3 linked regions of the Sus scrofa genome follow. The protein of the gene in region 2 binds, or shares a complex with, the protein of the main gene of each other region. Links are inferred from orthologs where the notes say so. Each region holds a gene or a part of one and is shown on either strand. Other genes may lie near its edges.

Region 1 (3,644 bases), on a different chromosome or scaffold from region 2:
ATTCATCGAAACATACAGTCTTTATCAGTATGTAAATTGATAGCACTATGGGTGAGAGAGGGCAATTTTAAGTATTGCTGTCTAAAGCATTCTGCTTTTAAGCCACAAATTTATGAGTCGCTTGCATTCAAAAATTGTTATTATTGGCAATGACTGGGTATTAAAGTTTTAAAACTTTTGCTATAGTATGCTCTTAATAAATGCAGATTCTTTCAGTTTTTGTAAATATTTTAGTCTTAATTATGACTCTCTTTCTTTTCTTCTCAAGTCTCTTTTGGAAAAGTTCTTGATCCCCAATGCTTCACAAGCAGAGAGCAAAGTCTTCTATTTGAAAATGAAAGGAGACTACTACCGTTACTTGGCTGAGGTTGCTGCTGGTGATGATAAGAAGGGTATGCTGCCTTGACCTTTTTGCTGCAAGTTTATAAAATAACAGTTAAATGAAGAGAAGTAGTGGACTTTTTCCTTTTTTTAAAAAATAAAGTCCTGGAGTTTCCATTGTGGCTCAGGGGTTAACGAATTCGACTAGGAACCATGAGGTTGTGGGTTCGATCTCTGGCCTTGCTCAGTGGGTTAAGGATCCGGCATTGCTGTGAGCTATGGTGTAGATTGCAGATGCGGCTCCGATCCCGCATTGCTGTGGCTCTGGCGTAGGCTGGCGGCTATAGCTTCCATTAGACCCCTAGCCTGGGAACCTCCATATGCCTCGGGAGCAGCCCTAGAAAAGGCAAAAAGACAAAAAAATAAAAGAAGTCCTGAGGCTATACAGTTAACCTTTGAGCAACATAAGTTTGAGCTACACAGGGACTTTTTTTCCCCATAAATACTATAGTACTACACAAATCAAGATTGGTTGAATCCTATATATGATGAGCCAACTTCTTTTTTTTTTTTTTTTTGTCTTTTTGCCTTTTCTTGGGCCACTCCCGCGGCATATGGAGGTTCCCAGGCTAGGAGGGGTCTAATCGGAGCTGTAGCCACCAGCCTATGCCAGAGCCACAGCAACGCAGGATCCGAGCCGCGTCTGTGACCTACACCACAGCTCACGGCAAGGCCTGATTGTTAACCCACTGAGGAAGGGCAGGCATCGAACCCCCAACCTCATGGGTTCCTAGTTGGATTCGTTAACCACTGCGCCACGACGGGAACTCCCCGACTTTTAAATTATACTCAAGAGTTCCCGTCATGGCTCAGTGGTTAACAAACCCAACTAGTATCCATGAGAGGGCAGGTTCAATCCCTGGCCTTGCTCAACTAGTATCCTTGCCCAACTAGTATCCATGAGAGGGCAGGTTCAATCCCTGGCCTTGCTCAGTTGGGTTTAGGATCCGGAGTTGCTGCGACTGTGGTATAGGCCAGCAGCTAAGGCTCTGATTTGACCCCTAGCCTGGGAACCTCCATATGCCTCCGGTGTGGCCCTAAAAAAAGAGGACCCCCCCCCCAAAAAATATACTCAGATTCTCAACTGCATGTGGAGAGTCTAAACTGCCTTGTTCAAGGGTCAACTGTGTATTTACTGCCTGATAATTGGTATTGTAAAATGTATGCTCACTGACAAGCCAATTTTATGTATAGGAATGTTTCCTCACAATTTTAAGAAGCAGTAGTTACAGTGTAACTGTAGGGCAGCACAAACTAATTATTAAAGATAATACTGAGATAATTACAGAGATGTTGCCCTAACGTTGGTCATTGGCTAGTGCGTATTCCAGGAGAAGCTTATTTTTTTAAATTTATTTCAAAATTTATCATTGGACAGTAAAGGTTTAGTTTGAGGAGTGAAGGTGCAGTGCAAACTTTTATCGATATGTTTTGGTGTGTTTTATCATCCAGGGATTGTGGATCAGTCACAGCAAGCATACCAGGAAGCTTTTGAAATCAGCAAAAAGGAAATGCAACCAACACATCCTATCAGATTGGGTCTGGCCCTTAACTTCTCTGTGTTCTATTATGAGATTCTGAACTCCCCAGAGAAAGCCTGCTCTCTTGCAAAGACAGTATGTATTTTTTACATGTTACATGGAAATTCAGTAATCACTAGTATTTGAGCACTGAAATGTATTTTATTTTAATCATAGGCATTTGATGAAGCCATTGCTGAACTTGATACATTAAGTGAAGAGTCATACAAAGACAGCACGCTAATAATGCAATTACTGAGAGACAACTTGACAGTAAGTACATAACAGTATCATTAATGGTTGATGTAGTTGAAGAGATTACAGGCAAATCTGTTTTACTGCACTTCACAGATGCTGTAATTTTTACAAATTGAAGGTGTGTGGCAAACCTGCGTTGAGCAAGTCTATGGGTGCCATTTTCTCAAAAGCATTTGTTCACTTCTTGTCTCTGTAATTTTTTTTGGTAATTTATCAATAAAGTTACTTAATAAAGTATGTACCTTGTTTTTTTTAAGACAAGTGTAAGATCTACCTGTTGTTAAAACTGTTAAAACTGTGAAGAAAACCACCTTACAGAAACCAGTATTAGACTGAGGACTAAAAATGTGCCTTTTCATTAATTATATACCCATTGTTAAAATTTTGGGTTTTGTTTGTTTGTTTGTTTGTTTTGTTTTTCTCATTTTAGGGCTGCAGCCACGGCATGTGAAAGTTCCTGGGCTAGGGGTTGAATTGGAGCTGCTGCTGTGGGCCTACACCACAGCCACAGCAACTCGGGATACAAGCTGAATTGGAGCTGTATCTGTGACCTACACCACAGCTTGCTTGCAGCAACACTGGATACTTAACCCACTGAGGGAAGCCAAGACTCGAACCTGTGTCCCAGGGACACTGTGTTGGATTCTTAACCCACTGAACCACAATGGGAACTCCCAAAATTTTGTTTTTAAAATAATTTTTTAATTCAAGATTTTGAACTTTCAATCACATAGTTCATTTTATTTTTCATTTCAATATATTGATTCTGTTTTTTCCATGTAGTCACAGGAGAGTTTAGCTTTTAAGTGTCAAGTATCTGCCCTGTGCTGGGTAAAGAGCTAGGAACGATTATAGTCTAGTGCTACTGATTTTTGTTAGCTTGAGGGCCATTTCTCTTGGAGATTGTACATCATCATTTTATATATTTCACTTTTTTCCAGCTTTATTTTATCTAATCCATCACCAATTTTCTGAACCAGTTACACATTCTAGTGTTGAATGTTATCAGCAGTTTTTTGAATGGTATTGTGTACTTGTTTGTTATTAAACACTGAAATAATTTCTTAAAAGAATGAATCTTATATATATCAAATGGAAGACGCATTTTGTTAGCTAATTTTAATATTAATAATTTTTCATATTTTTCTGTTTTGAAATGATGTTGTAAAAGGTATAACTTGAGACCTAGTCCCTTCTGAATTGTTTTGACACCACTTTTTGAGAAAGCTTGATCTGAAATAGATATTTTCAGCTGAATTTTATCAGTATGGCATAGCATACAACAGCTGAGTAAGAAAACCAAGGTTCAGATTCTGATTCTGTCACCATTTACTATGTAATCTTCTCTGAGCTTTGGTTGTATTGTCTGTTATCATTATAGGTTGACTGGATCGTTTCATCTGTCAAGTAAAGAAATTTTGTTAAAACTGTCTACTATTTTGAGTCTGGATCCGGTTGACCAGTATTAACACACAACCTTAGGAA
Region 2 (3,644 bases):
GGTGGGGTGCCTGCTGCGTGAAGAGCTCATTAAGACCTGTTTAAGCTTGATGATAACAAGGCCTTCTGTGGATTTTTCTTTTTAAGTGACCAAGCAAGTGCAGAAAAAACCACCCCCTGCAGGGGCAATAACTGAGAGAGGTAATTCTGAGCCTGCTTCGCCCAGGGGGGCTCACCCCTTTTTGCTCCTGTGGCTGTTGGTTGGCTTAGATTTTTTAGAGCCGGGAGGATCTGCTTCTGAAACATAGGTCTCACGCATGGAGCCTGAGGTTGGAACAGCGAGAATTCCTGCTCCTCTTTTTGTGTGGTTTGTGTGGATGGGCCTTTCTAACCCTGCGTGCTCTCACTCACTTCAGCCGAGGGCTGTGGGTGGGGCAGGGGAGTGAGTGTCTCCTGCTGCTTGTGGGCGCTGGAGGTTTGGACTGTTCTAGCCAGGTTAGGTGTGACATCCCCACTGGCATCTATGACACATGCACCATGGCACTGGGCACTACCCCGTTCCTACATCCGGTCTGTAAAACCCAGCCTGAGGGGTCCGCTGCCCTCCTTTTCAGATGAGGGCAGGCTTAGGGAGGCTGCGTGACTTCACCCAAGGTCGCTCTGCAATTCAGTGGTGCAGCACAGATTGGAAGCCACCGCCGGGTCCACCGGCCGCCTGTGTGCTTGGGTGACAGTGGCGGAGGTGCTGAGCCTGAAAGCTTCCCCAGGCCTGTTGCCACAGAGCTTTACACCTTGAAGGATTTCCAAAAGACATGGAGATTCAAACTCTAAAAACCGTGCGCTCATTCTCCCTTTTGACAAGAACTTAGCCTTTCGCTGCTTCCAACAAAGAGCCGTCCTTCTCCAGCTCGGGGCCAGGCAGTTCCCTGTTCAGTAGGGATGGTCCCTGGAGCAGGGGCGTCACTGTGGAAAGCTGGGAGCCAGCCACCAAACTCAGAGCGAGAGGGGACCTGGACCGTCCTGGGCAGAGTCTCCAGCCCAGACTCTGCTCAGGAATCCCTGGGCGGGGGGAAGCACCAGTGTTGGAGGACCCCACCCTCTGGGGTCTAAATGGGGCCCTGGGAATCTGCATCTTTACAGGCCCCCACTCTTGTGCGACAGCTCCAGAGATTCTGATGCAGGGCTGCCTGGGCCACAGTTGTGGAAATACAGATTCAAGAGGCAGACGGGGGAGCAAGCTATTGAAGGGAGATGGGGATGAGGAGAGGAGAAAGAGGTGCTGTCAGGGAGCCCGGGGCTGGGTCTGCTGGCAGAGAGGGGGTCCAGCGCCTTCTTTGAAGGTTGGTGCCCATGTTGTGTCTGGAAAGGTGCATTGCTATTTGTCGTGCATTGGTGTGTGGGGGCGGGGAGGTGTCCTTGGGGTGGGCAGGCAGCATGAAGCGGCATGGCTTGTTTAGAAAGCCAGGGACAGAGGGACACAAAACAGGCATTCTGTCCTGGAGCCCAGGTACCACAGAGGATTTGGGAGGTCCAGCAGGGGTCTGAGGGAAAAGGGCACTTGAACTTGCTGAACAGCTTAGAATTCACTCTGTGGTTAAAGAGCCCAGAGGGTGGTGGGCAGCCAGTCACTGCATCACCCTTATTCCTGGCAAAGACCATGTATCCCCACCTGGCCTCGCTCACCATTACAGTTAGTTCCACCTTCAAGTTGTATTCCCAGAGCTTAGAGAGGGGAAGTGACTTGTCTGAAACCACACAGCTAGTTGGAGGTTCTCCTGACCCCAGGGCCATGGAGCAGGGTTGATCCCCCTCTGGGATCAACCACTCTGTTGCTTCCCAGGAAGCGGAATTTCTCCGTCCCAGAGCAGCAAGGCTGCGCAGAGGAGACATTTCCCTAGAAATGGGATCAAGGGCCGCCTCCTGGTGATTTGACAGAGCTTCCAACCTTGTTCCCGCCTGGCTGATCCAGCCCTGAGTCTGGGAAAGGACCTGAGACAGATAGTCCTTCTCTAACTTTCCAGGTGAATCTGGGAAGTCTGGAGATCGCAGTGGCTACAGCAGCCCCGGCTCCCCAGGCACCCCGGGCAGCCGCTCCCGCACGCCATCCTTGCCAACCCCGCCCACCCGGGAGCCCAAGAAAGTGGCAGTGGTCCGCACTCCACCCAAGTCGCCGTCTGCAGCCAAGAGCCGCCTGCAGACTGCCCCCGGGCCCATGCCAGACCTGAAGAACGTCAGGTCCAAGATCGGCTCCACCGAAAACCTGAAACACCAGCCGGGAGGCGGGAAGGTAGGTGTTGCGGAGGCGCAATGGGAGGCCGCTGTGCGAGCAGCAGCGGCTGGGGCGCGAGGAGAGGGCGTGCGGGCGGGGAGGCGGGCGAGGGGCTCTGCTGCTGCCCCCATGGCGCAGTCCGCTCCCCGACCTCTTCCGCGAAGGCAGTCGGGTTGTGTTCAGTTCTTTATTGGCGTCACCACCAGGCCAAGAGCCCCCTGCCCTGGAAGAGGAAACACTGTTTCTTACCTTGCGCACTCCAGACCCCCCCCCCCCCATCAGAGATTACAGGGTTGTAGCTCCATAACCCGGGAGTTCTCAAAGTGGGGTGTCCAGAGGGGCTCCCCAGCTGCCTTGTGTTTTGGACATGACACAACCAGTCTGCAGGTGAGTACGTCTGGCATTTGTTCGACATTTATTTAGGTCCCTGTTCTGGGGAAATGGGTGATTCTTCCAGGGTCAAGTGGGCGCTCAGGATATCTTTGGGTCTCCTAAAGGTGGAGAAAATGAGCTTCCGAAGGCAGGAGCTGGAGGGAGCTGGGGTTGGCCTCGACCGGGGTCCACCATTGTATGAGTTTCCCAGGGTTGGTGTACAAAATACCACAGGCTGGGTGGCTTATGCAGCAGAAGTGTGATTCCTCATGGTTCTGGAGGCCAGAAGCCCAAGGTCAAATCAAGGTTGGTTTCTTCTGAGGCTTCTCTTACTGGCTCATAGATGCTGCCTTCTCCCCATGTCCTCACATGGTCTTTCTCAGGGTGTCACTATGTCCTAATCTCCCCTTCTTACAAGGACTCCAGTTATATTGGAGCAGGGCTCACCCTAATGAGCTCATTTTAACTTAATGACCTCTGTAAGACCCTCTTCCAAATTATAGTTCTGTCTGGAGGTCCTGGGAGTTGGGATTTCAGCCTGCAAATTTGGGGAGACACAGTAACAGCCCTCCCACCCAGCACCAGGGAGGGGAACAGAGAAGGGAGAAGAGGGGTTTGGGGAGCAGAGGACCAAGACTCTGCTCTTGGGTTGGGCCTTCCAGACTGGGCCGTTTTCAGGGCAGGGAGCCTCCTGGTGGGCAGGGAAAGCTTTACAGAAGCCCAAGCCAATGTATCCCTTTCAGCCGGGAGCCCCAGCAGGGACCTCCGCACTCCAGATCTTATTATTCCCTCTCGGCTGGGGCCCTGGTGTCTAGGAGGGAGGGTGTCTCATAGTCCGTCCGTGGCATTTGGTCCATGTTGGTGCCTCACCTGAAATGCTGAGCTTTTCTCCTCGTGGAACCTCAGGGCCACCTGCTGGCCTTTTCCATCTTTGGGGCCCGAAGGTTCCTGCCCAGGGGAGGCCTGGCTGCCTCTCTGGGTCTCAACGCCACCTAGTCTTAGGGCCACAGGGCTGGGCCAGGGCCATATTTACCTTCCTGCACAGTTTGCTATGCTCCTCTTTA
Region 3 (4,218 bases), on a different chromosome or scaffold from region 2:
TGACAATGCTAGAACCTTAACCATGAAACAAATTTTTTTAGAAATCATGTCAGGCTCCCATCCAAGCAGGATATTTTCTGAGGGAGTTGGCCGATCAGAAGAAGATTTGGGTGCTGTGAACTACGGGAGGGGGCAAAAGCTTGTCTCTTAGTCAGTGTTTAGGCTGCTGTTGCCTGTACATACTCACTGTGTATGTACCTTGGACAGGCCATCTAGTCTTGGGGATCCTGTGGCTGTATCCACACCCCCAGCTGCTGGAGGATGCAGCAAGGGGGTGCTTATACAGGGCTGGGCCTGACTCCCCAGGTGTAAATGGTGCCCTCGCCAGAGTCCCTGGAGGTGGACAGGTACACTGGGGGCCACTGTGCACTCAGGATTCCCTGGCTGGCGTTACCGAGGTCTGGACAGAGGAGCGAGGAAGAGGCCATCTTGTTGCTGCCCCGGTGAGGCTGAGAGAGAACCAGAATCCAGGGAGAAGAGGAGGTCGGGGAGGGATATCCCAGTGACAGCCTGTTCAGCCCAGAGTCACTCAGATCATAGTCACTCGAAGATGCCTCTGGCTTAGGGGGACCACCTGGGAGCCCCAGAGGGGTGGTCCGAGCACACTGGCACATTATAGCAGAAGCCACTGCAGCATGCAGTCCGTAGAGGTTGGGGCTTTTGTGTTGCATCAGAGAGCCTGTCTGACAGGCAGCATGTCAAGGTGACGGCCAGTGCAGACCAGGAGGACCAGGGATGGGTGGATGGGAGAGTAGGGACAGCCTCATCACTGGCTGGCAGCCCACACAGAAGGGAGAACAGAATGGCAACAGCAAGTGTGCTTTGTCAAGGTGTCTCTCTGTGCCGAGCACTGTGCTGTGTGTCAGTGCATTATCTGCTGGCAGATGACTAACATTTGAGGCTCAGAGGTAGAGGGGTGGTCAGGACAGTATGAGCGTGGCCAAGATACAGGGAAGGTGGGGGTTATAGGGACAGCCATGGAACCAGCCAGGCAAAGCAGATGCTGGGACAGGCGGTTGCAGCCTTGATGTGCAGCGAGATGGGGTTGGGGTGGCAGGGTGATAGGGAGTGCTGTCCTGGTCGTCTGGGGCAGATAGATGGATGACAAGTGACATTGAGGTCAGACCGTGAAGTTTGCACCAGGCTAGCGTTGGGCTCGCTGCTGCCCCCTGGCGCCCTCTACTGGGAGTCCTTCATCTTTTCCTCCCCTCACAGAGCCCAGCCTCCCTGTCCCTCCAGGGAGCATCGGTCCCCAGTGGGGACAGTCCGGGCCACATACGGTGGGTGAATGTGGTACACTGCCAACACACCCTGTCAGGGCAGCTGGAGGAAGAGTCTTGTCAGCCGCCCCTAGGGCGTACTCCGTGGAACAATGCACGTCCCTTTCCGAGCCCCAGCCTGGCAGCCTCTGGGTCCCCTGGCAATGCCCTGGTGAGCGGCCCTGGCCTTTCTCACACTTTGGACAGAAGGGACAGCTGAGACCCATGGGCCCAGGACCTGGCCGTCTCCTATGGCAGAACTGGGCACGTGCCTTGGCCTTCTTGCCTTTCTCCTAGAAGCCTCTAGAAAACTTTCCTACCACTGCCTTGAGGCCCCTGGGGGGACCCTTTTTAACATCTGTCCTGTATCCTGCTATCCTCCCTAACACGACCCGGAGGAAGATTTTCTCTCATAGCGTGTGTGTCGAGAGAAGGGGCAGGAAGAGCTATGCTCTTCACGGAGCATTCATGTGTGCGCGCATGCGTACTCGTGTTCATACAGGCGCCCATTATGGGGAGACTCATGCATTGAATGGGGTGTGAGACCAGCTGGCTGTTGAGGTCACCATAGGGTCGCGGTGTGCATGCACATGAAAAGCCCCACATCGTGGGTGCCTGCGACTCCAGGTGTGACTGCGCATGCGCACAGGGAGTGCCTTGCCGCCCTCCCTGGAGCTCCCCCCGCCCCGCCCCGCCACTGACGTGGAGGTCTCCCGGTGTGTCCTGCAGGCTATATCCAGAAGATTAAGTCGGGAGAGGAGGACTTTGAATCTCTGGCCTCACAGTTCAGCGACTGCAACTCCGCCAAGGCCAGGGGAGACCTGGGTGCCTTCAGCAGAGGTGCGCGAGGAATGGGCACCACCAAACCCTGGCGGGAACCCCTAACCCACCAGCGCCTGCCCCCCACCTAGAGATAGGGTGGGCTGGCCCCTGTCGCGCAGGCCTCTAGGGTCCACCAGGTGGCAGCACTGTTCCTCCTCGAGCTTCATAGGCTCCCCTGTTGGAGTGGCGGCCGCAGAGCCCTCTCCCAATGACCTTCTTTCTTAGGGTGGGGAGGCGGTCTGTGTGTCTCTCTGCTCACTTGGCCCCATCACAGGCCCACCAGGGTGGGTGCTTGCTGACATTTTCCTATTCTCCCATTGGAGATGTCAGGCTGGGGCCCTTGGAGGCCCAGAATCCCTTGCCTCCCCTGGTGGGTGGGAACAACAGGGTGAGGGGAGGAGGGAGGTCAGGTGAGCAACCGCTGAGTTCCGGCCTCTGCAGCTGAGACTGTGGAAAGCGAGGAGCAGAGGGAACCAGGCCACCGCCTCCTTCCCCCTCCATCCCCAGGGTCATCAGGGGCCCAGAATGGGGTGAGGGGTGTCAGGGAGCCAGCAAGGGGCTGCGGACCACCCCAGGAGGCAGGTAGGACAAGTGATGTGGCAGTGGCTGGGAACCGGGCCCAGGGAGATCAGTTCATTACTAAAAAGTATCTCTTCAGTGGACGGTAGAGGCTGCAGCTCTGCCTGCCATCCCTCACACTGTCCTCCGGCTTCCTGGGGCCTCCTTAATAGCCCTGCCGCCCCCAGCTGGGCCGCAGCTTGGCCCCTTGACAGGGCCATAAACCTGTGACAGATGAGTCTGAATGAGGGCCAGGGGCGGGCATGTGGGCGCCCCATCTGCTGGCTCTGCCCGGTCCTGGCCCCAGGCCCGGGTCTTGACCCCCCCGCACACACCAGCCTTCATACTTCCCCAGGTCAGATGCAGAAGCCATTTGAAGACGCCTCCTTTGCTCTGCGGACAGGGGAGATGAGCGGGCCCGTGTTCACGGATTCCGGCATCCACATCATCCTGCGCACGGAGTGAGGGGTGTGGACAGCTCAGGCCTGGCCTCCCGGTGTGGGGTGGGGCGGGACGGGGTGGCTGGGCCCACAGACCCTGCTCCCTGCTGCCAGCCGACCTGTGGGTCCCCCTGCCTGCTAACGTCACACAGTATTTATTGATCCCAACATGGCTGGAAGGGGGGCTCTTCACCATCGGGGTCTCCCTGCCAGACTCCCCTCCCTTTTAGGAATTGACTTCAGAAGGGCCTGGGGTGGAGAGGCCCTCCAGGCTCCCAGACCCAGCAGGTGGGGGTGACCTGTCCCAAAGAGAAGGCCTAGTTAGCCGAGCCACCCCCTGTGTTCCCCCAGGTCCAGGAAGGGGGTGGGGGGGCGTGCGGGCAGGAGGGCCTTAAGTTGTTTCTGGTTATGCCATGTTCCTCTTTTCAATTGCAAAAAGCAGATGCTCCGCTTGGGGCCCAGGCTGCCTGCTGCTTCGGGGCTCTCTCTACACAGCAGTGCAGCGCCCTCTCCACCCTCAATTAAACCTGGAACCACTATTCCACTGTCCCGTGTCTCATTTCCTCCCTGCTGAGGTGGGTGGGACACTGTTGGGGAAGTGATCATTTCCTGCCATCCTTGTGTCCAAGTGTCCAGGCTGCACTTTCCTCCCTCAGAAGCCTCTCCTCATCCTGGGCTTGGGGGCATCCTAGCAGCAGCCAGACTCTCGGAAGTAGAGCACTGATGAGTATCAGAAGTCCTCAAACTTGGGTGGTCAAGAATATTCTAGAGGAGTTCCCGCTGTGGTGCAACAGGATTAGCGGCCTCTCTGGAGCACTGGGGCGCACGTTCGATTCCCCAGCCTGGCACAGTGGGTTAAGGATCCAGCCTTGCTACAGATGCTGCATAGGTTATAACTGTGGTTCAGATCAGATCCCTGGCCCAGGAACTTCATATGCCTTGGGTGGCCAAAAAAAAAAAAAGAATATTCTGGAATGCAAGGGCCCTGACCGCACAGCTCTGGATTCATCAGAGCCAATCTCGGTGCTCTGGGCATCTCCACCACCACCACCACTCTGTACCCATGCACACATGCACGCACACTCGCACCACTTCAACTAGACCAAATTAGCCCAGCACCCTGATGCCTGCTTCCCTGT

What was found.
Region 1: the proteins of MAPT (region 2) and YWHAZ are in contact, whole or in part, in a crystal structure (PDB 8QDV), measured with the Homo sapiens proteins. The link is inferred for Sus scrofa from reciprocal best matches to the Homo sapiens genes MAPT and YWHAZ. Residues at the interface, in NP_058519.3 of Homo sapiens: Ser637, Cys639, Gly640, Ser641, Leu642, Asn644, Ile645, His646, His647; in NP_001129171.1 of Homo sapiens: Glu14, Leu43, Ser45, Val46, Lys49, Arg56, Arg60, Lys120, Arg127, Tyr128, Glu131, Gly169, Leu172, Asn173, Val176, Glu180, Ile217, Leu220, Asn224.
Region 3: the proteins of MAPT (region 2) and PIN1 are in contact, whole or in part, in an NMR structure (PDB 1I8H), measured with the Homo sapiens proteins. The link is inferred for Sus scrofa from reciprocal best matches to the Homo sapiens genes MAPT and PIN1. Residues at the interface, in NP_058519.3 of Homo sapiens: Val546, Arg547, Thr548, Pro549, Pro550, Lys551, Ser552, Pro553; in NP_006212.1 of Homo sapiens: Arg17, Val22, Ser32, Gln33, Trp34.

Annotation. Positions count from the first base shown.
Region 1 is NC_010446.5:36,002,933-36,006,576, forward strand, and holds part of YWHAZ (14-3-3 protein zeta/delta), read left to right. Parts: intron 1-268; coding exon 269-392; intron 393-1,833; coding exon 1,834-1,997; intron 1,998-2,078; coding exon 2,079-2,174; intron 2,175-3,644.
Region 2 is NC_010454.4:17,120,749-17,124,392, reverse strand, and holds part of MAPT (microtubule-associated protein tau), read left to right. Parts: intron 1-86; coding exon 87-140; intron 141-1,960; coding exon 1,961-2,226; intron 2,227-3,644. UniProt on the Homo sapiens protein: Promotes microtubule assembly and stability, and might be involved in the establishment and maintenance of neuronal polarity.
Region 3 is NC_010444.4:68,725,854-68,730,071, forward strand, and holds the end of PIN1 (peptidyl-prolyl cis-trans isomerase NIMA-interacting 1), read left to right. Parts: intron 1-1,988; coding exon 1,989-2,099; intron 2,100-2,994; coding exon 2,995-3,104; 3' UTR 3,105-3,618; downstream 3,619-4,218. UniProt on the Homo sapiens protein: Peptidyl-prolyl cis/trans isomerase (PPIase) that binds to and isomerizes specific phosphorylated Ser/Thr-Pro (pSer/Thr-Pro) motifs.